2 linked regions of the Lytechinus pictus genome follow. The protein of the gene in region 1 purifies or fractionates together with the protein of each later gene. This does not show direct contact. Links are inferred from orthologs where the notes say so. Each region holds a gene or a part of one and is shown in the gene's direction. Other genes may lie near its edges. The genes, in order: centriole and centriolar satellite protein OFD1-like and centrosomal protein 20-like.

Region 1 (12,682 bases):
AGACCTTGAAAAAAAACACTTTCCCCAACCCGTATTCCTCTAAACTTTTTTTGGGTAAATGTTGACACCCATACCTACTCAAATCAGTCAAAAAAACATTTCCAATAATTTTATTCCAGTTGGTTACTAATTACGGGATACTTTACAGTGTTTTTATTTTTAGAATGTTATTGTTGAAAAACAAGTGATCTTTGTAAACGCTTTCTTTCATGCATGGATATATAAATATTTGTCATCTTTTGACCTTTGACTTTGGATATCAAAGTTGAAGGATTATTCTGTATGATTATTTTGAGCCTTTTTATCTTCTTGTAAAAATTGCTTTTTGTCATCAAAATCACCAATATGCAGCGTTTTATCTGAGATACCTTTATACGATATATAGCCTATGTAAAAAGGTCATTGACCTTTGACCTTTGAACTTGAACTTTATGGATTAATATGCATTCTAGGTGATTAACTTTATCTTATTTGACCTTCCTGTAAGAATCTGTGCATTTTGACACAACGATCACCAACCTGTGCCGTTTCATCTCAAAGATAATATTATACAGTATGATACATAATGTAAAAAAAGGTCATTGACCTTTGAAAGGCTTTGACCTTGAATTTTATTGTTTAATGTACATTCTGGGTACTTAATATTTTTTTTTTTTAATCTTCCTGTAAGAACCTCTGCATTTTGACACCTAAATAACCAACCTGCACCTTTTCATCTCAGAGATACCATTATACCGTATATGGTATATAATGTTAAAAAGGTCATTGACCTTTCAAAGGCTTTGACCTTGAATTTCATGGGTGAATGAGCATTGTAGGTACTTGATTTTATTTTATTTTATCTTCTTGTAAGAATCTGTGCATTTTGACACCATGATCACCAACCTGTAATATTTTATCTGGGAAATACCATGATACAGTATATTTAAAAAAGTCATTGACCTTAGACCTTGAAAAAAAACACTTTCCCCAACCCGTATTCCTCTAAACTTTTTTGGGGTAAATGTTGACACCCATACCTACTCAAATCAGTCAAAAAAACATTTCCAATAATTTTATTCCAGTTGGTTACTAATTACGGGATACTTTACAGTGTTTTTATTTTTAGAATGTTATTGTTGAAAAACAAGTGATCTTTGTAAACGCTTTCTTTCATGCATGGATATATAAATATTTGTCATCTTTTGACCTTTGACTTTGGATATCAAAGTTGAAGGATTATTCTGTATGATTATTTTGAGCCTTTTTATCTTCTTGTAAAAATTGCTTTTTGTCATCAAAATCACCAATATGCAGCGTTTTATCTGAGATACCTTTATACGATATATAGCCTATGTAAAAAGGTCATTGACCTTTGACCTTTGAACTTGAACTTTATGGATTAATATGCATTCTAGGTGATTAACTTTATCTTATTTGACCTTCCTGTAAGAATCTGTGCATTTTGACACAACGATCACCAACCTGTGCCGTTTCATCTCAAAGATAATATTATACAGTATGATACATAATGTAAAAAAAGGTCATTGACCTTTGAAAGGCTTTGACCTTGAATTTTATTGTTTAATGTACATTCTGGGTACTTAATATTTTTTTTTTTAATCTTCCTGTAAGAACCTCTGCATTTTGACACCTAAATAACCAACCTGCACCTTTTCATCTCAGAGATACCATTATACCGTATATGGTATATAATGTTAAAAAGGTCATTGACCTTTCAAAGGCTTTGACCTTGAATTTCATGGGTGAATGAGCATTGTAGGTACTTGATTTTATTTTATTTTATCTTCTTGTAAGAATCTGTGCATTTTGACACCATGATCACCAACCTGTAATATTTTATCTGGGAAATACCATGATACAGTATATTTAAAAAAGTCATTGACCTTAGACCTTGAAAAAACCACTTTCCCCAACCCGTATTCCTCTAAACTTTTTTTGGGTAAATGTTGACACCCATACCTACTCAAATCAGTCAAAAAAACATTTCCAATAATTTTATTCCAGTTGGTTACTAATTACGGGATACTTTACAGTGTTTTTATTTTTAGAATGTTATTGTTGAAAAACAAGTGATCTTTGTAAACGCTTTCTTTTTTAAAAACAATATTCTATCTAGGTAGGTTGAGTGTGTATTTCCCCAAACAATTGCTGTTAGCTAGCCGAGACAGATGAAAATTTGTGCAAAACTTGTAAGTTGGCGAATGTGGACCCGGGATCATCATCCGTTTAATGAATAATGGTGGTCCCCAAGTCTAGCCAGGAGGCTTCTAGAGAGTAAAAATCATTTACTAACGTAAGGTTACTCTCATACGAAGCCAGGTCTTCCTTCCTATACTTTTGCGTGTACCACCAAAAAACCTGAAACTTTCGCCCCGAGATTTCTACTTTCTTTCTAAAAGATCTAGCCCTAAATCATGTACATGGGATACAACTTCATTTCCGACATTTCTACGCTATGGATTTTATTTCTAGACAAGAATTGCTCCATAATTTAGATATGGTAAAATTAATGTCGAATAAAGCATTTTAGGGAGGAAGTTGGAAGAAAAAAACTTAACTTTGCTGATAACATCAATATCGCGTGAAATTGTACGACATATAAAGTCAGTGTGTGTTTTCCAAGATAATTTGTTGTCTATTATGAGACCTAAAAATGTTGTTGCAGTAACAACTTAAATGTCTATATTGTCCAGTTTAATATTAAATGGCAATTGTTCTAAAGCATTGCTAATAAGCATGCATTTTGTTTTTTTGTACATGAATTGACAATTTGTTAGCCCTAATCCATATTGTACCAAGTTCAGTGTTCAGTACAATAATTAAAATATCGGGGTTAGGATGAGAGTAGAGTAGAGTACACTATTTGAATCATCTGCAAAAGGACATAATTATTAAGATAATATTTCAGAGGAGTTCTGGATGTCATTTATAAAGATAATAGATAAAAGTGGGTCCAGGAGGCTGCCTTGGGGAACACCCCAGTTAACATTCTGTAGAGAAGAATTTTGTTCATTTATGCTTACGAATTGTTTACGATTTGCGAGGTATAGTTTCTGAACCACTCCAAGGCCTTCCCACGAACTTCGTAATTTTCAAGTTTGTAGAAAAGTATTTCATGATAGTGTCAAAGGCCTTGGAGAGGTTCAGAAAAACACATATTTGTATATTCAAAGTTGTCAATAGCTTTTGTGATTTTGTCAATTAATAAGAAAGTGGCATGAGATGTAGGCCTACCATGTTTTTGGCGATATCCAAATTGAAAATCAGAAATTATATTATATTTATTAAAAAAATTAATAATCTTGTATAGCTCACCCTTTCCATAACTTTAGTCAAAGTAGGCAATAAAGCTATCGGTCTATAGTTACATACATTTCTCCTTTTTGTGCACTGGTATTATCTTCGATATTTTCGTATTGTCAGGCACATCGGACGCCATTACTTAAAGAAAGGTTAAATATGTATACTAATAGATTAATATATTCTATAACATTCTTTAATAAAATATTATCAATACCATCCGAGGTGACCACAGTTTTTTTTTTTTAAGTTGTTCACTATATCTATATAATTCCTATGTACTGCATGGTACTAAAAATAAAGAATTAGGGTTTGGTTGGTGAATGAAGGCGTACATTTCTTTTGTGTTAATGGTATATTGTCTGCAAGACTTTTTCCAATTTGTGTAAAGTATTGATTAAATATATCAGCTATACGAAAAGAATCATGAATTTCAACATTATTGTGCTTTATCGTTTTCATGCGTTCTTTTATGCTCTCGTTATATGGCAGTGTTTATTGTTTTCCATGTTTTATTGATGTATTTGAAACGAATTAATTAATTTGTGAATTAATTGATTTGTGATTAGTCCAATTAGACCAAATAAATGGCTATTAGACCATCTGGTTATTAGACGGAATGGTATTAGACTATATAAATGAAAGTAGATCGACAATACGTGGAGAGTGGACGAATTGATGGTAGACCGAAGATAGTAGACGAGTTGGCAATATTGGATGAATTGGAAATAAGCTTGCAAAATGACAAAGACAATGACAAGTTTGGTCGCTTCCCTCCCTCGCTTTCGATTTTTTTGGGAAAAAGTTTACGCATGTGCTGCCCCCCCCCCCCGTGGCGGATTTTCCACAGGGGGGGGCAAATTCGTCGGCCCAAAAATTTGACAAGCAAAAAAAAAAAAAAAGGTCTTCAACCACAAATATAGGATTTCGAACCAAAAAAAAAATTGACAAGCAAAAAAGAAAAAAAAAAAGGTCTTAAACCACAAATATAGGATTTCATACCAGAAAAAAAATTGAAAAGCAAAAATATATAAATAAAAAAAAGTCTTCAACCCCAAATGTAGGATTTCGTACAAGAAAAAAAAATTGACAAGCAAAAAAAAAAAAAAAAGGTCTTCAAGCTCGTCAGGGGGGGGGGGGGGCAGGGATACGTCCCTTGCATGGGTTGTGATTCGTCAGGGGGCAGACTGCTTGCATCAACCGCGTAGCCAGGATTTCATTTTGGAGGGGGCGGTAAATGCACGCGAAGCGTGTCAACACTTACAGAGCGCGCGAAGCGCGTTCCCTAGGGGGTGGGTGCAGGGAGGGGGAGTTTCCCCCTCCCGCGCGAAGCGCGAAGCTTTTGGTGTTTCATAAATTAAAATGAAAAGGAGCCGTCTCTCTTGTCTCTAGTATCTATATCAGCTCCAATTCAGTTGACTATATTGTGATTTTGAACCTTGTTTTCAAAAGTGATTGTGAACGCACAAAAAGGAATACAGTGGAGGAAATTAAAATCATAATAACCCCGCGCGAAGTGCGGAAGCTAAAGCGTTTTATCAATTTTTTTTTGCCATGAAAAGGGTCCCGAGAAAAGGGTATTCTCAAAGATATATTGAATACTTCCCTTGGAAAGATCAGATTTGATTACAAACAATTTAGCGACAGTGCATATCTTTAACTCGCAAAACAGAGGAGAAGAAGTGTATATGCCGGGAGGAAGATATTCCTCCCCGCGCAGAGCAATAAAACTCTGAAATTTCAAAGGGCGGACGTTTCATCAAATGCAGATATCTCTAATACACAGTAAAAACGCTGTTTAAGATTTTATACAACGCTGTTTACTATATGAACCTTACAGTATTTGTTTAACCGTTTAAACAATCATGTTTAATTTATTGAAAATTAGATATTGAAAATTAAACTTTGTTGCTTAAGATTTAAACAGTTGTTTACAGTTGTTTACAATTGCTGTAAGGTTCATATATTAAACAGCGTTGTATAATTTTTTTTTGCTGTGTACCCCATCGGCTCTAATTCAATTGATTTCCTAAGATTATTGAACTTCATTACAAGGAAAATAGTGCGCAAAAAGTTGAAACTTCTGTGATTTATTGAAATTATATAAAAAAGGATGCCTAATTTCTTTGACTTATCCTGAAGCGCTTCATTTTGAATTATAAAGAAACCTAAGTGTCATTAAAAATTTCAAACTGAGGGCGCAAAACAGGACAGGAGATGAATGTGCAGGGAAATGACATGACGATTAATAGAATTTGATAAAAAAATATTGTACTTTTTTATTTAATACGACACAAATTTTATACATTCCTCTTCTTAAATTAGGAACCTGTTTGCCCCAAAATTATGGTTGTTTAGTAATGAGCTGAAAAGCGGGAGAAGTTGACTTTATGGAGTTGACGGCAGTAATTGATATAAAGATTTTACCCGCCCGGAGCCGACCCGACCAGAAGTTGCGCGATCAATTTAAAAAAAAAAGATAACTTCATATACTGATCGGCTTAACCTTACTCTAATTCCATGCCCTAATGTATACGTTTGAACTTTAACTGGCAAGAAACACATATATATAGCTGAGGTGGAAAAACATGGTTAGAGAAAGGGTGGGGGAAACAATGGAGAACTTCAATATTGTCATTTAAGCAAAATTCATATATAAATTTTGAGCAAGAGTGAAGGAGTTTCTCTTTTGAGAAAAAAAAGAATAAAAAGAAAAAAAAAACCGACAAAGCTACCTTTCTTCCATTTCCTCCCTTCTCTTTTCCTTTTCTCCTCTCTTTTTTTTCCCTTCTTTTTTTTTTCTTTTTGGGGACGTTTTGGGGGGGGCGACCGCCCCCACCGCCCCCCCCTGGCTACGCGCCTGCTTGCATGCACGAATTAAATAATCCCATCAATCACTAACACTCGTGAACTGAACTGAACTGAAACTTTATTCTGTCGACCCCTTTCGGAGTATGAGAATATACATAGATATACATCATACATTCATACATAGTGCATACGTACATTAATACATACATAACAAAACATGAATAAATATAAAAAGCTATAATATGGCAAAAAAAGGTGATGAAAGCCTTGATTGCTTGAATGCAAAGATAATACTTTTGAACACATGAATAACAAAAAGAGAAAGAAAAAGGATATAATAACATAATATACAGGTATATACATTTGGTACTTATCTACGAAACTGTTTCATAATAATGTTAACAAACTTGGCAAGTTTTGACAGTGTTTTGGGAATTTTAGTATTAAATAGACTATGCATTTTTAAAGTGTTTGGACGTTTGGCAAACTAGCAACAGATTGTCAGGGGATCATTGTTTGTATGTGTACCATAGAGATGTATACTAATTACTTGTACCCATATATTTTGGTCGATAATTTCTACCAACATTTCTGCTCCAATGCACTGCAGCGCTGAGCTGCCGATCGATCCGAAGAGAGGGCAACTTGCCAATCTCTAGGCCAGTAGTTTAGGCTGCATTTGCGAGCGATATACCGTACCGTTGGATTATCAGCGCGGGATATTCAATTTCAAAGACTGACGAGGTGGCGACAAAAGTTGGTTAGCAGGCTTGAAAGGATTGGAGAAGACAGCATTAAGACAAGTGGAAAAGGCTGGAGCATTTAAATCTGTACAACTTTTTGACCCCCAAAAAAGTTAGCTAGCCGAGACAGATGAAAATTTGTGCAAAACTTGTAAGTTGGCGAATGTTGACCCGGGATCATCATCCGTATTCCGTTTAATGAATAATGGTGGTCCCCAAGTCTGCGCACCTAAGAATTTGAGTTAAGATTTAACATGAATTTCTTTTTATTTCACAAAATCTTTCAGTTAATAATGTTCCTTATATTATTATTATAAAATATGAGTAAGTGTACCAGATATCTCATAAAAATTTAAAAGAAATATAGATCTATCATCTAGGAATTTCTTGGAAAAAACCTCGGGCAGTCATTTTCAATTTCAGATTGAAAAAATGATGGGGGGACCTAAAGCTACGCACTTTGTTTTCAAACAATAAAAACTATCCCAATTTTAATATTTCAACAAATATCTTTCACTAATTTGTGGCAAACATTCTAAAGATCATTAAACAAGAAGAAAATATCGCAAAACTCACTAATACGAAAATCCCGCCATGTTTTCCGAACACCTCTTGATTTCGCCACCCGATGTAGAAGGGGTCCTAAAGCTACGCGCACTCGATTTAATATCATGCAAAAAAATAGTATTTCCTGTGCCTCAATTTCTAAAATATATTCATATTATTATAGGAAAAAATGAAATTTAAGCGAATATAACTCCAAAATTCCAAACAGTTATTGGTTTCTCTGCATTAAATTAGAGATTTACTGCAGCCTCTGTAGAAAAAATTGAATAGGAATCATTCGTCACTCTGCAGTCACAGTTCCACACACAGAGTGCGCATTTGCCATAAAAACTATGCGCGATGAGTGGTGCGTAGCTTTAGGACCCCCTGCCATACTACGTCTACGGTATGACTATGAAGTATGATATGGTGGGCCCCAAGTCTGCGCACCTAACAATTTGAGTTAAGATTTAACATGAAATTCTTCTTATTTCACAAAATATTTCAGTTAATAATTAATGTTCCTTTATTATATTATTATGAGTAAGTGTGCCAAATTTCTCACTGAAAAATGAAAGAAAATATAGGATTTTCTTGAAAAAACCTTGGGCAGTCATTTTCAGATTGAAAAAAAAATGGTAGGATGGGGGGTCGGGTGTCCGGACAGTTTATCTTTTCGAAGCCTTCTTTTTTGTCTTTGGATTACACTAAAAATATGAATTCAATACTTGTAATCATCTTCTTTGTTCTTTATAATATTTCCTAAAATTTTGTACTAAAATTTGATGAAACTTTGCTTGTAATTTTTTCCAAATGACTTGTTAATTCTAAATTCTAAAATTGATCATCCGGACACACAACAACTGGGTATACCCCATGTCTGCGCACTCATTCACTTTGCACACGATTTGGGGATTTGGATGAGAAAGGCTGCATTTTGAGGTCGTCACATGAAGTGCCCTAAATTCATTATTTTCCCACCATTTTGAGCCGGATTTTAAAATAAAAATCTGTCTACACTGTATGTAATGCATGTGTAAAGTCTGTGTTCGTTGCGTATCTTTTACTAGAATCGCGCAGATACGCGTGTGCGCAGACAAGGGGGACTGCGCAGACTTGGGGGAACTTGCCATACAGTCCACCAGGTTGGTGTATCATGTGGACTCGACTGTTCACACAATCAGGTGCCAATGTTAACTTAGGTGCAGGTTGTATGATGGGGGACCTAAAGCTACGCACTTTATTTCCAATTTTACTATTACAAACGATGAAAACTGCCAGTTTTAATATTTGAATCATAAACCAAGGAGAAAATATCACAAAACTGACAAATACGAAAATCCTGCCATGTTTTCCGAACACCTCTTAATTTCGCCGCCCGATGTCATGCCTCATGGGTGTAGAACTTCTAGAAGGTTAAACTAGAAGGGGTCCTAAAGCTAGCACTCCATTTATCATGCAAAAAAAATAGTATACTCAATAGACCAGGGGCAGTATTCTGAAAATTGTCTTAAGAGAAATATTCTTGTATCTTTAGAGTTACAATAAAATCTGTATTCCGAAAATTCTTGTATGTTTTCTTGTAACTTTCGGCGAGCGCGTATGATGTCATAGCTAGAATTATGCGTAAAGTTAAAAACGGCGCATAAATATCCCTTTGCGCAAGATAACTTATCGAGGTAAAAGGTGTTCTGAAAATTCTCTTATCTTTGTGTTATGTTAACTTCCTTGGAAAATACAAGAAAATTTACAAGAGGTAAGGGGCTATTGTAACTTATTGTTGCATGCGATATTTGTCCGTCTGCAATAATTATTTCCTGCTGCATCCCGCAAGAATATCATGTTTTACAAAACGAGACTTTGCAAAGACATTATAACGACGGATTGGTAGACTTTTCAGCAAATTAAAAATTGGTGTTCGAGACGATGAATCTTTTCAGAGAAAATATGTCTTTGAGAAGAGCCACGTGTATTTTTAGCACAGAAGCGCACAAGCATAAGCATCGCGGGTGCAAGGAAATTACGCCTCATATCAACAATGCGCTTCATTATTTTTTAGAAGAGACGTCTCTATTGGTTGACCTTAGCATATCACAAGCTTAATGATTGGTTGATGAAGAAATATAGGGCGTGTCAGAGATAAAATAGGGGACGTTCTTACAGGGATAAGACAATTTTCAGAATACCAATTTAAGATAATTTTAGCGAGCTGTTATATTGCTGACTTACAAGAAAAGTTAAGACAATTTTCAGAATACCACCCCTGTTCGTAGTTACTTCTTGGACAATTTTTGTCAAATGACCTTTCATTTCTTTCACTATGATAGGCAGATTTCAATGCAAGATATTACGTAAGCATGCCTTCCATAGCAAGATGAAAAAATTGAATAGACCAGGTGACCAGAATAGCACACCAATGAACACTATGAAGGTATTTGTTGCATTTCTACTTTGAATGCATAATTATAGCATGTTGTCCAATGTACATGTACTTTGCAAACTGAAATACCAGTCGTTCGTAGACGCAATTTTGTTTTTTGTGGAGGTAAATCAAAATAATATATGAATAATCAAGACACCAAAGTTGGTGCTTATAAATCTCATTAGATTTTAAACCACCATGTCACTTTAGTACCAATGACCTTCCTCTGATCATGCACAGAGTGGAACTACGAACTGGCTTATTTCTAAAATATGTTCATATTATACAGGAACATATGAAATTAAAGTGAATGTAACTCCAATTCCAAACAGTTGTGGGTTTTCTCTGCATTTAGAGATTAAATGCAGCCTCTGTATAAAAAATTGATTAGGAATCGTTCGTCTGCAGTCACAATTCCACATAGTGCGCATTTGCCATTGAAAACTGCATGTGCGATAAGTGGTGCTTAGCTTTAGGACCCCCTACCATACGTTGTTTCAGACCCGACCCACGGCCCACCGTGAATTTAAACTTCAGTCTAGACTCTCTGGAGACTCTTGGTTGGTAAATTCTGAGATCCATTTTATGATTTTTATCTCAGATAAAATAAAATATTTTATCTCTGTTAAAATCAGTGAGATAAAATACCCTTAAAATCTCTCTGTATTGGTATTCTCTATCTCTCATCTCACTCAACCAACATGACCAATGCCATGGAAATCCATTCCGCCAGGAGGTGTGGCAAATGAGTGAGATTGCGTCAATTTATTGACTTCAAATATGCTTGCGCGTCTTTACAGAGATGCCTTTTTTAAAAAGTGACAATACTCTCATCTTTTTTTCAAAGTCTAGTCTAGGGTCACTCACACACATGCGAGGTTAGAATGTATTACTCGGCTAGGCACCTATACATGTATATCGTATCCTTTCAAGCATCATTTCAAACACAATATCAGTCATGGTCATGATTGTACAGGAAGAACGTTGTATTCTCAATAATATCATTCATTTTTCTTCATTTTCATCAAATTGATGTCAAGATTTGAAGTTAATTCACCTAGTAGAAATATTGATGAAATCAACGTCGCAGAGAAAAAAAAAGACTGACTCTGAGCATCAATTTCCTTTAAATTTTACAAAATTGTCAGTTGATATTGTTTCTTATATAATGTCAAGAGAACAGCACTCAGCAGCAGCCAGCAGGGTCTAACAAGACTAACATTACTTAACTTAGTGTGCCAAACATCTAACAATTTGAGAGAAATTTAATGACAATGCTCTAAAAAAAAAAAAAAGCAGCTAGTTATTTCAGATTGAAAAGTGGTGCCCCATGCATCATGTGCATGGCATGCGCTCACATATTGATCTCTGGCTCTCACCAACATTGTTTTACTTTCACTCCTTTTTTTTAATTAAAATAAATTCACCTTGTTCCACAGGTTTATTTGAAATTTGCCTAATTACCAACCATATACATGTACCATTTGGTCTAACTGGAATAAGTGTTAATTGGGCGAAATGAATGAAATTAAAATGGATATTTAAAATGGATATTAGACCAACTGGTTATGAGACAAAATTGTCATTATTAGACGAAATGGTGATTAGACAAAGTGATGATTGGACCTAATGATTTTTGGACCAAATGTTTGTTAGACAAAATGTTGATGGACAGAATGGTATTAGATTAAATGAAGGTACAATAACATTAGACCATGTGATGAGTTGGCAGACAAATTGGCAATTTACCATTTTATACCAATACCATGTCCACATGACTTTACATGTAGACTAAACTGGGCATACATTCCTCAAATTTTTCCTGATATCCAATATGAATAAATGCCAATGACTCTTGTTTATGATTTTAGGCTTTAAGAATAAGGTATGAACCTTGAAACATGCATGTTCCGTTTATTACAATGTTAAGTTCTTTTTATTACTTTTGGCTCCCATATTCACTTTACACACAGGGATTTTCTCCATCATTTTGTCTTCTTGACCCAGATTTTTAAATATCTGTCTATGTAATGCAGCCAGGTGTATTCAGTGTGAAGTTTATGGTTATTGCAGGTTATTTAATTTTCACTAAGGACTCTGTATACACAGACAGTACTATGCAGACTTTGGGCATCTAATCATATGAAGGAGGGCCCCATGTCTGCACACCTAACTATTCAAGTTAAAAATTTAACATGAATTTGTTTTTATTTAACAAAAATTTTCAGTTGATATTACATAATTATGAGTAAGTATACCAAAATCTCATAATAGTTTGAAGGAAATTTATGATTTTATTGGAAAAAACGCTTAAAAAAAATGCCAATTATTTTCAGATTGAACAAAAAAATGGTGCCCCATGTCTGCGCACCAACACAGGATTCTGGGTTTTGATGAGAAAATCTGCATTTTGATGCCGTCACATGACATGCCTGAAATTCAATATTTTCCCACCATTTTGAGTAGATTTTTAAACGAATATCTATGTATTTCAGGTGTAAAGTTTGTGTTCGTTGTGTGGATCTTCTTTTATTAGAAAAGAATGTGCGCAGACAAGGGGCAGTTGATATGAAGGGCCTTCTACTAGTATTTCAAAAACGTTAAACTTATTCTCCTGTAAAAATTGGCCATTCATTTTGAGATTGAAAAAAAATAATGGTGCCCTATAGGAATATTTTCAATTGGTCTAATGCTAATTCATCCAATTTCCAACTCGTCTACTATCATTTGGTCTACCATCAGTTTGTCCACTATCCACATGTTCTAAATGCTATTTCGTCCACTCACCGTTTCGTTTAATAACCTGTTGGTCCAATAGCCATTAGTCCATACCATTTGGTCTAATTGGACTAAGTGT
Region 2 (13,274 bases), on another chromosome or scaffold:
CCATATTTTTGTAATACTGTTATAGGCATTTTTAATTGAAACTAAACTGACTGCATAGAACAGATATGTGACTTCTCGTCTATCTGGTTCAGTGTACTCTTCTGGCAAGCATGTACGTCATTGACTATATCGTAAAAGAATGGAGCGATGAACAAAAATAATTCACCAGGGATATTGTTTTGTAAATCACCACGGAGATATTAGTTTGAAAACAATTTGATATGAATTACAAGACATAACCACATAATGACATATATGCATGCTTACAGACAAATCCTCTCAAATTTAAATCAACATCATCAATTACTTCATCATCATCATCATCATCATTATCATCATCATCATCATCATCATCGTCATCATCATCATCATCATCGTCATCATCATCATCGTCGTCGTCGTCGTCACCATTATCATCATCGCCATATCATTATCACCATTATCACCATAATATGTCCCTTCTTATTCTCCTCCTCGTCCTCCTCCTCCTCATCATCATCATCATCACCACCACCACCACCACCACCATCATCATCATCATCCCATCAAAGCAACAACCACCTTCGATTCTAGCAAACCTCACCGCATATCCTACTACCCCCACCCCTCCCCCTTGTTTCATTATTATTATTTTTTTAGATTTTTTTTTCTGTGGATGCTAAACCATTATAATTTTTCATTTCAATGTATCCCTTGACTTTGTATATAATCATTAAATACACCAACATTCTTTCTTTGTACCGACTGAGGTACAGTGTAGCAGAATTTAATCTAATTTGTAACAGTTATTTATTCTGGCTATCCGTCATTTTTATCAACCAAGCTCGGCCTCGGAGCAATCTCATTAATTACCTTCATTATCGCAACTAAATTTGTTTGCACTGTGAGAAATTCAGCCAAATTATAGAACTGATCAGTGCTGGAATATCTTTGCCAGTCAGTATTTATGGCGAGGATGATGGAATAGAAGCAGAGTGAGTCCAGTGTGTTTACTGAGTGGGTGAAGGGGTTGGGGTGCGATAGCCTCATTACTGAACGGAAATTTTCAAATTTATGAGACCCCAAAGATAAATAAAATGTGTACATACATCTCTTTTTATCATATTTAGCCCAATTACAAAATGGGTCTTCGATCCAGCTACTGTTATGACATAAATGATTAAAACACTTAAGTATCTGTAAATAATATTGAGTGAGAAGCCGAAGCGAACGAGCAAATATTCCCATGTATACGCATTATCACCGGCGTCTTTTAAGCACACTGTGACGGTAAAAATCTCGTATAGCCTACATTGCACCGTTACCTGGTTGGGATGAAAAAGTAGCTAATTGCATGTATATTAAGGCTTTAAGTTCTTTTTATTAAAAAGTGATGTTTATAACAAAGCATTTGATTTCATTCATTTTATTTTCAGCACTGCAAAGCAGTTTGAATTCGAATTCGTCAATGACTCGTTCGCCCTTCGCCACTCCAATTCCCAACAATACGTATCGATAGATGCTTCCGGTCAACCATTCTTGACCGCCAACATCAACGACATCGCTGGCAAGATCGGCATGGAGCTCGCCAACCGCACCTCACTCATTCTCCAAGGCGAATTCGGATTCGTCAAGCGCGAAACAGGAGGAAGAAAAAATAAAGTCAAATGCAATTCGGCGGATTACGACGAACTGAATTTGACATACGAACCGGATACAAGTACATATCGGATTACAGGTAGAACTTCGTATTTTCGTATTTTAACAATTCGGTCAAGATTCAAGATTCAAGATTTATTCATTCCATTCGATAAAAAGATACAATTCATACATACAAATTTACAAATTTACAAGATTTACATACAAATTTACAAGATTTACATTTGGATACAATACAATTTATACAAACACAGAAATGGTATTGATTTCACATAGACAGAAAAAAATCAAATGGAAATGGGTCACTGCAAAGACTATAAAGATACATTCTTTCGATCTAGGAAGATTATCATCAAGGAATATTTCAACTTTCTGAACGTAGTTATAAAAGTCAAATTCGAGAGTTGCTGGGATTGGAAATTAGTCTATTGTGGTGGTCACGGTGGTCACGGGGACTGATCTAAAATGAAATTGAGAATAAAATTGACTTCTAAATCAATTAGATTTAAATTTTCAATTTACGTTTTGATAGGTTCCTCTTCGAAATCTAAAGAATTTAATGTGTGATTACTTTCAAGAAATTGGTATATCAAGATTGATTGTAATAAAAGTACCGCAGATAAAAGACGGTATGATTCAGTAAAGACGAGGCAAAATAACAATTAAGATCCTTGGTCGTACAAATTACATAATACTATTCAAAAGAGTATCTATCAAACTCTAATGCCGAGAAGAATTTGGTTATGATGCCTTTAAAATGTAATGATAAACATTCCTCCTTTCATAATCTTTTCATTTCACCACTAGATCAAGATGGGAATCCATGGTGCATGGACTCATTGAAGGAACACGTCATAGCCGCCTCCATGGGTCAACCAACATCTTTCATCCTAGAGCTTCACACAATACTTGGTAAAGCCAAGCTGGCCATACGTCCTCTGCACCCAGACAATGACTGTTTCCTGAAAGGCTACAAGAATGGCGCCTTCACTGCAACCGGCGATACATTGTCAAAGGAAACCCTGTGGACATTTAATTAGATCTTTATGTCCGGTCTTGGATGATTCTGTTGTAAAACAGTTTTTTCAACTGAACCGGACTGTACTCTCCACCGTTTTTACCGATTGTGTTAAATAAAACATGAATAAATCATGGTCTGATGAAGTAAAGTTAACCATGATACGTCCCAGGAGCCCAGACAGGGAGTTTCACAAATGCAATGGGGACAGATTCAAGAACACAGTAAATGTACTGAAAATGCCCGTCAAGTGGCAATTCAAAGAACATCTGGGTCTTTGTCGAAAATTTGTGAACCGGAACAGCAGTTTCGTCCTAATTAGTTTCGGAGCTGACGAATGATGAATATGTCGTTTGTCCAGAGTCCAGGATGAAACTGTTGTTTAGATTTATCAATTTTGACAGACTTCTTGGCTGTGTTTGTTTTCTATAGGACGTTTGACATTGTATTGACATTCCGTCGTGCGTCGTGCACGTGAAAACTTCTTCATTGCTGTTTCCTTGAAGTCTGGGTTATCCAATCCTTCATGGATTTATTTTTTAAAATCCATAAACGGAATAATCACCCATCCGCTTAACCAATACGTTCCATGATTGCAGTGGCGGATCCAAGGGAGGGGAGGGGGCACATCCGGCCTGTGTCCCCCCTTTTGAGAGCCATAATCAAAATATGTAATGTAAATATACACTCTAAATTACAGGGATTTAAAATAAGTCTAGATGGATTGTAGTTAGGGACCAATCGATTTCTGGATTTTGTTTTAATCCTAAAGACTTAAATTTAAATCTCAAATGATTTAAATTTAAATTAAATTTAAATCTTTCGAGATTTAAAAAAGGAATCTGAAGGATTCAATTAAATCCGGAATTCGATTGGTCCCTAACTACAGTCCATGTGGACTAATTTTAAATCCCTGTAATTTAGAGTGTACCGTTTTTACCCAAGTGTGCCCCCCCCCCCCTTTGAAAGTGAGGACGAAATGGCCTTCAATTTTAGGTGAAACCGTCCTTTCTTTTTTTGCTTGTCAAATTTTCATCTGGAAATTTTGCCCCCCCCCCCCCCCTCTTTGGAAAATCCTGGATCCGCCCCTGATAATTGTGAGTAAAGGTTTGGCATATCGAGTCTGTACCTACATCTCGGTTACGGCCATGACGACAGTTCAATGTTAGCCTAGAATCGTTTCCATTACTTAATGGTGGCAGCGGTGGGATCGTTGTGACGATTTCTTGAGGTTTATCGTCACGGCCGGGGACGATTTTCTTTCCAGCTGTACTTGTGTACCCTCTGAAATAGGTTACTCTTGATGAGGGAAAATATTTTGAACATTTGTTTCATGCATATTAATCTACTTTCTACTTTAAACAGTGTTGAAACATCAATTACTATAGCCTGGTACCCTGGTGGCAAACCGTCTTTTTTAATTTTGTAAAAATAGGAACATGTAGAAACTTGTGTTCATACTTTTTTGCATATGTGTTAAAACACGATCAAACGAAAGCGCGAATGATTTTTCTTTTTAAAGGACAATTCCACCCCAACAAAAAGTTGATTTAAATAAAAAGAGAAAAATCCAACAAGTATAACACTGAAAATTTCATCAAAATCGGATGTGAAATAAGAAAGTTATGACATTTTAAAGTTTCGTTTAATTTCACAAAATAGTTATATGCACATCCTGGCTGGTATGCAAATGAGGAGACTATGACAGCATCCACTCACTATTTCTTTTGTATTTTTTTTAATGAAATATTCTAATTTTCTCCTCATTGTCAAGTGATACAAAGATTAATTCCTCCCTAAACATGTGGAATTAGCATTGTCTAATACTATATGGTTCAGTCAAGTTGGTCCTTATATATTGTCAAATCTATAAAAAATGAACTGTTGAATAATTCAGACAATAAAAAACAAAAGAAATAGTGAGTGATGGGCATCATCGACTGACTCACCTAGTTGTGCATATCACTGTTTTGTGAAAAATAAGCGAAACTATAAAGTGTCATAACTTTCTTATTTTACATCCGATTTTGATGAAATTTTCAGCACTATGCTAGTTTGATTTTTCTCTATTTATTCAAGTTAGCATTTTCCTGGGGTGGACTTGACCTTTAAAGTAGCTTTCAAGATAATTATTTCTAGTACGACTTGGAGATGTTTTCGTGTTTAATTAGCTTTACATTGGATTTATTTCAATGCATAATCTATAACATACTTCAGCAAAAGCATTAATGAAAATTTCACGAACAAGGTACATGTATGCCTAGCTATATATATTCGAAACAGTTCCAAGACGCTCGGGACATATCCGAGCAAAATATGTGCATTATTTGCAGGGCCCTGGAAAGGAATGTTTTGTGAGGGTGCTGATGTAAATTTAAAAATAAAAAAAGGTATTCTTTACAAATGGAGGAGGTCAAATTGTTCCGAGAAATTTGAAAAGCAGAAAACAGAAAAATGGTTTCACTACAAAATGAAGGTCATTTTTGTTACATTTTTCAAGTTTTACACAACTTCCAGAATACCTGGGGGTGCTGCCTAATGCATGCAGCACCCCCGCTTCACAGGGCCATGATTATTTGTTTTATAAGATGTTGATGTGAGTCCTTGCTCGTTGATAAATCATCCTCATTATCAAAATTCAACCATGGTCGGTCATAATACGTTACTTGTGACCGTTCAGACAAATGCATATAGGCATTGCATGCGATCAACTTCAAGACGATAAAATCAGTTTTAAGCGCAATTTTGAAATACATTCTTAAAAAAATATAGTTACATTTCACATGAGAACAAAAATAAAATCGTGATTGTAGAATTAAGAACGTTTTACTCATGTCTGCACACCAATCAAATGAACCTTTTTAGTGATTTAATGAGTTCCATTTTACGATCTATTCCATTATCTGAAATCAATCATTTTACAATCACATTAAAAAAATCGACTTAAAAGAATAATTCGATTTTTCAAACAAACAATGAAATCTATTTTTTTCCAAAACCATTTAGGAACTAGATTTCAAAGTCAATTTCAAAATCAACAGAAAAATCTATTTTAAAATATTACAGTTTAAAATCGATTTTAAAATGCAAAGTCATATTCAGCAAAAAAAAATATATATTGACACTGAAATTGTAAAAATGGAGCTAGGACATAATTTAATATGGGTATAAGGCCTTGATTTTTTTTCGATATTGATCTTAAAATTGATTTTAACCTAGAATCAATTAAAGTTTTTTTTTAGCTCTTTGATCTACATCCATTCAAGCCCTGACAGCTCAATCGTAGTCTCATTCTTTCCATACTGCACGTCATTTGGTGTTCCACAAAAACATGAAGAATAGAATTACATATTTTGTATGAGTATTTTTTCTCATACTTTCAACTGCTGTTATTGTCTATTATGTGCAATGCATCATGCAATCTTCTATTTATATTGTATTTGAACGTAGGATGAAATGAAATCACGGTGTTATTGAGCTTGTCATATCTGTCAGAAGAAGCACTCCGCATCTATTAGTTTAATGAAATGACTTTGACATTCATTTTCTTTTTGTACTTAATATGCACGTTCAATGTTTCAGTACAAAGCGATCAAAATCTTTGTGGATGACAATCATGTGCAATAAATGTGATATATGAAGCCAATGGTTTGATGTGTGCTTTTCATGCAGTCTATTTTCTTTCTTTCTTCCTTCCTTCCTTCCTTCTTTCCTTCCTTTCTTCTTTCTTTCTTTCTTTCTTTCTTTCTTTCTTTCTTTCTTTCTTTCTTTCTTTCTTTCTTTCTTTCTTTCTTTCTTTCTTTCTTTCTTTCTTTCTTTCTTTCTTTCTTTCTTTCTTTCTTTCTTTCTTTCTTTCTTTCTTTCTTTCTTTCTTTCTTTCTTTCTTTCTTTCTTTCTTTCTTTCTTTCTTTCTTTCTTTCTTTCTTTCTTTCTTTCTTTCTTTCTTTCTTTCTTTCTTTCTTTCTTTCTTTCTTTCTTTCTTTCTTTCTTTCTTTTTTCCAAAGAAACAAATAAACCTAACAGAAACATCTTATCATATACTTTTTCCATAGATATCAGATGTTTTTACCAAAAGTTTAATTTTAGCTGGAAGTTAGGGCTCAAGAAAAGGGGAAAGTAAAAAGGGGTAGGAGGCCCGGGGAGGCAATTAGGGAGAGAGAGAGAGAGAGAGAGAGGGGGGGGGGAGGGGGAGAGACAGCTCTTTCTACCGTGCTTAATTGAAAATTGGTTTTTATGTTTTTAAAAATAAGTACGTCGATATTTTTCTTTTTCTTCTGGCAACCTATAAATGTTCATTTATAATCGCACAAATTCTAGAAGGAAACTCATTTCCAGTTTTGATATATCCTCCAAATAATAGCACAACGCATTTTCATATCGTTGATTTGCCTATATTGGCCGTGTGTTTTTCAAGGTTTTCCCGAAACCAAATTTAAATTAGGCCTATACATGACCCTATACTGAGCCGCGGAACGGATTTGAAAGTGGGGGCACTACCATGATAAAAATCGCAATCAGATTGTCATTTTCTTACTTTTTGGTACACGATTTTTTGAGAAAAAAGGGAGCTGAAGCCCTCCAGCCTTCGGTTTCGCGGCCCCCGCAAGAGGGGCCGACGGGGGGGGGGGGGCAGATGGTAGAAGAAGGGCACGGGGGCTGGGAAGGGGAATCAAACTGTCAAGAAGAACATTAACAGAGCCGACATTCAATCAAACATGATGATCCGAAAAAATAAGTGAAAAAAAATTTCAACACTTTGCATTTTTTGTTCTTTCTTTTTAGAAGCACTAACTTACATGTAATATATTTTTTCTTTAACTTGTTTATATTTTTTCAATGCAAGTATATGTATATATTAACACAATATCAAATGATTGAGTGTTACACTGAAACTCCATATCATACTACCTGTATAATGATAGATATAATAATGTGTATATCAAGTATCTATTTACAAAATCGACATAATTATAGGCCTACTCATTCTCTTTTTCGAGTGTCAAATATTCACAACAAAACATAAACAAAAGATTTTCCATATACTCAAAAACCTAAACGAATTGAAGTCATTGGCAATGTTTTTTTAAAAACCCTCATCACCTCGGCCTCCTCGCTCCAATATTACATGTCCTAACAACAACAACAACAACAACAACAAAATGATCCGAGTTCCGCGTTTTAGCTGGCTCCCCATTCGGCGCTCCATAAACATCCATAAGCCAGCGGTTTTGTTTAAATTTGCTGAGAAGTAAAACGCTTAAATGGCTCAAGCCCAAGAATTAAAATCAGGTGAATATTGCTTTATTTTTTCCATGAATAATTACAATGCTACTTCTTAATTACACTATGGATTAAAAATTATTGATATAGATACTGTTTAAAGCTATAAAAGGGGAAAATAAAAACAATAAATTTGACTGTGTCCCACCTGTTAATATTTGTGTTAGCGCTTTTGAAGTTAGATCTATCTCACTCATTCTATGAACCCCTTTTCATAGAATGAGTGAGATAGATCATAACCTTTTATGATATAACCTACCTCGGGCGATGTTCGTGCAGGCTCCACTTCACTACCGCTACACTCCGCTCCACCTACCCGAACATCGGGACCGTGAACCATTTCGGATATAGGCCTACCGAGTCACAAAGCCAAGGTGGGATGGCAATCATGATAATCGTAAAATTAAACAAAAAAAATATAACGAAAAAGATGATTGACTTAATATCTTACTCTACACCCATATTTCACTCCGTTTCCATCCTCCGGTTATCCTCAAAATTTGTGATTTTTTGGGCCAGTATCTTTCCTCACACGTATTATTCACGGCCGATTTCAAAACACTGCATGCGACCATAAAATGTTAAACAATGGTATTTCCACATGTTCAGGGAGAAATGAAACTTTGTTTCACAGGATAAAGGGGAGAAAATTAGAATATTTCATATTTTATGTAAAGAAGTACAAACGAAATGTCATCAGTCCCCTCATTTGCATACCGACCGGTATGTGCATATAACTGTTTTGTGAGATTGAGTGAAATTTAAAAATATCATAACTTTCTTATTTTACATCCGATTTTGATGAAATTTTCAGTGTTACACTCGTTGAATTTTTCTCTTATTATTCAAATCAACTTGTTCTTGGTGTTGACTTGTCCTTTAAGTAAATTTGATTCTTTAGATTATTTTTTCTTAATTAAAAAATAGAGATTGAAAAATGACAATTTCCACCAATAGAGGGCGTTCACAAAAATATGCCAAAAATTCAAGTTTTTGAGCATTCTGGTGAATACAAAAATTACTCCAAAGTTAATAATAATGAAAAATAAATTGCAACTGTATGTAAATTAGTATTTTTGGTCACAAAAGTGATATTTTAATGATTTTTTAAATTGTGTGCTGTGTACAGCATTGTCATACCATAGTCCTACCTGTAGATTACCCACAGGCAGGATGGTGGATCTATCTAGGCCTATGTCATATACACTCATTCAATTAACAAGGTTATGAATGACATAGTTAGGGTCTATTTGTTTAAATTTGCCCAATGCCTGGCAGCTCATCCAGGTGAATCTAGTGTTTAAGTATTTTTGTTCTAGGCCCTACTATTATTATTGTGTTACTGTAGTGACTAGTCTGCTAGTTGTGTATTATTAAAAAAAAAAAATTATCATTGTTGTACTTGACTTGCTTTTCTATTTCATATTTTTTGCCAAATAAAATATTATATTAATAATAATTAAAATTTCGTAGATATATTCTCTCATTTCTTTTCTCAATGCCAACTTGATAGCAGGATGGACTTCCACTAGACGGCTAGTCTTGTCTAAATGACTCTAAAGCCAGTTGAATTTAAAGTTTTAAACTACACTAAACTTTCTGACTGAGTTTTTGTATTTATACCGTCTCTGTCCTTTGTTGGACTATAATTCTCCCCAGTTGTCAAGGAGACATTGGAAAATAATGGTGTCCTTGGAGAGATCAAAGCAAGAGTCAGAGCTGAAGTCTTCCGGGCCTTGGATGATCCAAATCAGAGGAAACCACCACTCAGCAATGAAAACATGCTCATCAATGAACTCATCAGAGAGTATCTAGAGTTCAACCACTATAAATATACATCATCAGTACTACTATCAGGTATGGTTGTGAATAGATAAAGCTTAACAGTTGTAAAATTGTCAATAGTCACTCTTGTCAGTAAAATTGTCAATAGTTACTCTTACCTAATTTGAAGAACTTTTAAGTAATGAAACCCTTTTCTTTGGTCTTGGGATTTTAAAAATATTTAATCAGGTTTATGTGCATAATAGATTTCATTACCAAATGGTACAAAGAAAATAGGTTTTTATGAAAATTCTTCCTTTTCAGAGTCTGGGCAGCCCACTACTCCACTAGATCGCCAGTTTTTGGCCACTGAGCTCAATCTAGTAGAAGACAAAAATACATCTAGCATGTAAGTAAATGCACTATTAAATGTAACTGAGTGAAGATTAATTATTTAATGTAATTTTTTTTAAAATGTCTTTGACTCATGAATACAATAGCGTACTTAACCATGGCAACAGGCGTCAATTTGGCACACTGACAAAAGCTTGCATCAGCATTGGACAGTTTTTAATATATGCGGTAAATAAGCATAATTTATACCGAAAATCTGCATAAACCATGGGTTCAACCGACGGTTTTAAAAACCACCTTTGTGAATTCGGGCCCTAGTGTTTTTTTTAACTCAAGTACAAAATAGATTTCTGATTTCTCCGACTGATTTATATTGATTGAAAAATTCAATTTAATTTGATACAAGAACATTAAAAATCATTAAAAAAGGATCAGGTTTTGGTTTCTGGAGAATTTGTACTGGATCCCTCTTTATTTTGTTGATTATTATCAAGATTCCAATATTTCTGTTTTCAGACCTCTCCTGTATGGGATACTTTCACACTTCATCCATGGTCAAGGAAGAGGTTCTTCAGTGAGCCCCGCCCACCAATCATCATCACATCAATTGAGATCACTTCATGTCAGGTCAGATCGTCACAGGACAACAAGATCAGGTAAAAGTTAACACGTTTTCCTTTTATACAGGGATTTCTTTAGGTCAGAATTAATCAGTTTTATTCCCAAAACTATCAATAGTGTTTTATCTTTTCAAGCATAGCTTGAAAAACGAAACATGTCTAAGAATCGCAGAATTCAGTTAAATGCAATTTGATCTAGTTTTGTCAAGGGTGGTTTTTATTATTGCATAGTGAATCGAGACATGGAAATAAGCTTCTATTTTCATACCTTTGTATTTTTTTTCAGAACCTTTGTCCTCATTTGATTGTTTCTTTGATTCCTCTTCTTCTATAGATGTTCCTCATCATTCTGATGTGAGGGTAGGAGAGCCGTTCACATTCAGCAACAAGACAAGATGATATCTAGTTTCACATAGTTTCAACTTGTGACAAAGCTCTGTTTGCATTGGTCTGATTAAAGAATTTACCGGTCCTTATGCTGTAAGTTGTTTGTATCATATTGTCAACATGAAATGGAAGACTTGAAACAGGGACTTTTCTTTCTTACGTTTACAATCCACTGCCTAATTTTCATAATGGTCAGTATGGCTTAATGTCATCTTGCAACAATGTGTGGATTGGTTTGTTGATGAACTGAACACAGTCCTAGTTGTTGGAGCTGTTAATAATGTCGGATTACAGACATGGAACAAGAAAGACTGGGAATTCCTACTTGGAACAAGAGTTGAGACAGAAGATACTGAGTTTAACAATCACCCTCAAAAACCCTACAAATCTTGTAGGGTTTCGAGGCAATCTGGACATCATTTGGGAAAATCTGAGACACTATTTTTCTCCATTTGCAAGTATGAAGAAAACTCAATACAAAAAAAAATAGTTCATGTAAGCTACATTTCACATTATAGTCAATGTAACCAAACATAAAATTCAGTCCTCCAGTCACAGGGCCCAAAACTTCAAAGTGGTAGTCAAGTTTTCTTGGAAAGTTTACCTCAAATTTTCACAATTTACTCACTTAATTGCCAGTTTAAAACTAAGTAGGATATATTTAGAGATATATTTTCCAAACATTCATATGCTTTTTTTTCTTATCTGATTTCTTTCTCCTTTCAAACTTTCACCTGCATATTTTTCAAATAGCTTTTGTCTCACCTGCATAGTAGTGAGACTATAGGCGCCGCTTTTCCGACGACGGCGGCGTCGTCAACATTGAAATCTTAACCTTGGTTAAGTTTTTGGAATGTCATCATAACTTAGAAAGTATATGGACCTAGTTCATGAAACTTGGCCATAAGATTAATCAAGTATTACTGAACATCCTGTTTGAGTTTCAAGTCACATGATCAAGGTCAAAGGTCATTTAGGGTCAATGAACTTCAGACAAGTTGGGGGTATCTGTTGAATTACCATCTTAACTTTTAAAGTTTATGGATCTGATTTATGAAACTTAGACATAAGAGTAATCAAATATCACTGAACATCTCATGCGAGTTTCAGGTCACATGACCAAAGTCAATGGTCATTTAAGGTCATTGAACTTTGGCCATTTTGGAGGTAATTATTAGATTGCTGTAGTAACTTTCAAAGTTTATAGATATAGTTTATAAAATGTGGATATAGGGGTAATCAAGTATCACTGTTTTAGGTTGCATGATCAAGGTCAAATGTCATTTTTTGCCGATGAACGTAGTAATGTATCATTATATGAATGGTGTTTTTTTGTTAATAATTATTTTATAGTAGTTTTCAAAGTCAGCACTGCTGCTATATTGAATCGTGTGATGCAGGTGAGACTGCCAGAGGTGCTCCACTTGTTTTTAATTTCTTCCAACAAATCATAATTTTTACCAGGCTGTTTTCATTGAGTGTAATTAATTGAAAATGCTCACAAGGTTATTTTTTTTATTCAGTGTACTAATCATATATATTTCATCTTTGTTAGCCTATTGCTCGAGACTACTTTTAATTTTCAGACGATTTGTCAACTAGATTTTCTAATTCATGTGATCAACATTTTTATGTTATACAATGTAATCAAACAAGAGATCTATCATATTGCTGTGAGCAAATGAACTGTGCTGTTTGAGTGTATAAAGCTCTGACTTTAAATATGCAATTCAACCATCTGATATGTATCTTCTTGAAATGACATCTCAAGTTTCGAACAAATACATTCTCACACTTTCCAAATGGAAAAAAAAAAGAAGTTTATAATTATGTTTTTGAACAAAGTTTCAGTGTTGCCTCAATAAACAAGTGATGTGAGGCTAAGTTCTAAGGAGAAAAAATTGTAGCTTTTTTGTGTTGGTTACTAAAATATATGATGATACACATCATAGTGCCTTTTTTTTTTCAAGTGACATTTTTATAATTTTTTTTCATCTTGAAATCCTTTCCCAAAATGTGTATTCCCGATAGTTCAATATGTTTCCTTGTTTTATTTTATTACAAAATTTGATAAGAAAATGAAATCAGGAATTCTAAACCAAATGCTGATATGATACAAGGGAACTATATCTGTGGATAAAAAGTTTAATATTTTAAGTAGTATGTGAGTGTTTGATGAAGATAAACAGTTGTGCATTTTAAGTAAATGGGAT

The links.
Region 2: the proteins of centriole and centriolar satellite protein OFD1-like (region 1) and centrosomal protein 20-like purify together in Homo sapiens (co-immunoprecipitation; 3 studies listed by BioGRID and IntAct, with this or other methods). This does not show direct contact. The link is inferred for Lytechinus pictus from reciprocal best matches to the Homo sapiens genes OFD1 and CEP20.

What each region holds. Positions count from the first base shown.
Region 1 is NW_026974140.1:11,825,152-11,837,833, reverse strand, and holds the start of centriole and centriolar satellite protein OFD1-like, read left to right. Parts: upstream 1-6,643; 5' UTR 6,644-7,008; intron 7,009-12,682. UniProt on the Homo sapiens protein: Component of the centrioles controlling mother and daughter centrioles length. Recruits to the centriole IFT88 and centriole distal appendage-specific proteins including CEP164. Involved in the biogenesis of the cilium, a centriole-associated function.
Region 2 is NC_087254.1:24,246,725-24,259,998, reverse strand, and holds the start of centrosomal protein 20-like, read left to right. Parts: upstream 1-7,858; 5' UTR 7,859-7,917; coding exon 7,918-7,945; intron 7,946-9,595; coding exon 9,596-9,793; intron 9,794-10,024; coding exon 10,025-10,109; intron 10,110-10,570; coding exon 10,571-10,710; intron 10,711-11,008; coding exon 11,009-11,073; 3' UTR 11,074-13,274. Other genes in the region: fascin-like, read left to right, coding at 1,416-1,717, 2,446-2,678. UniProt on the Homo sapiens protein: Involved in the biogenesis of cilia. Required for the recruitment of PLK1 to centrosomes and S phase progression.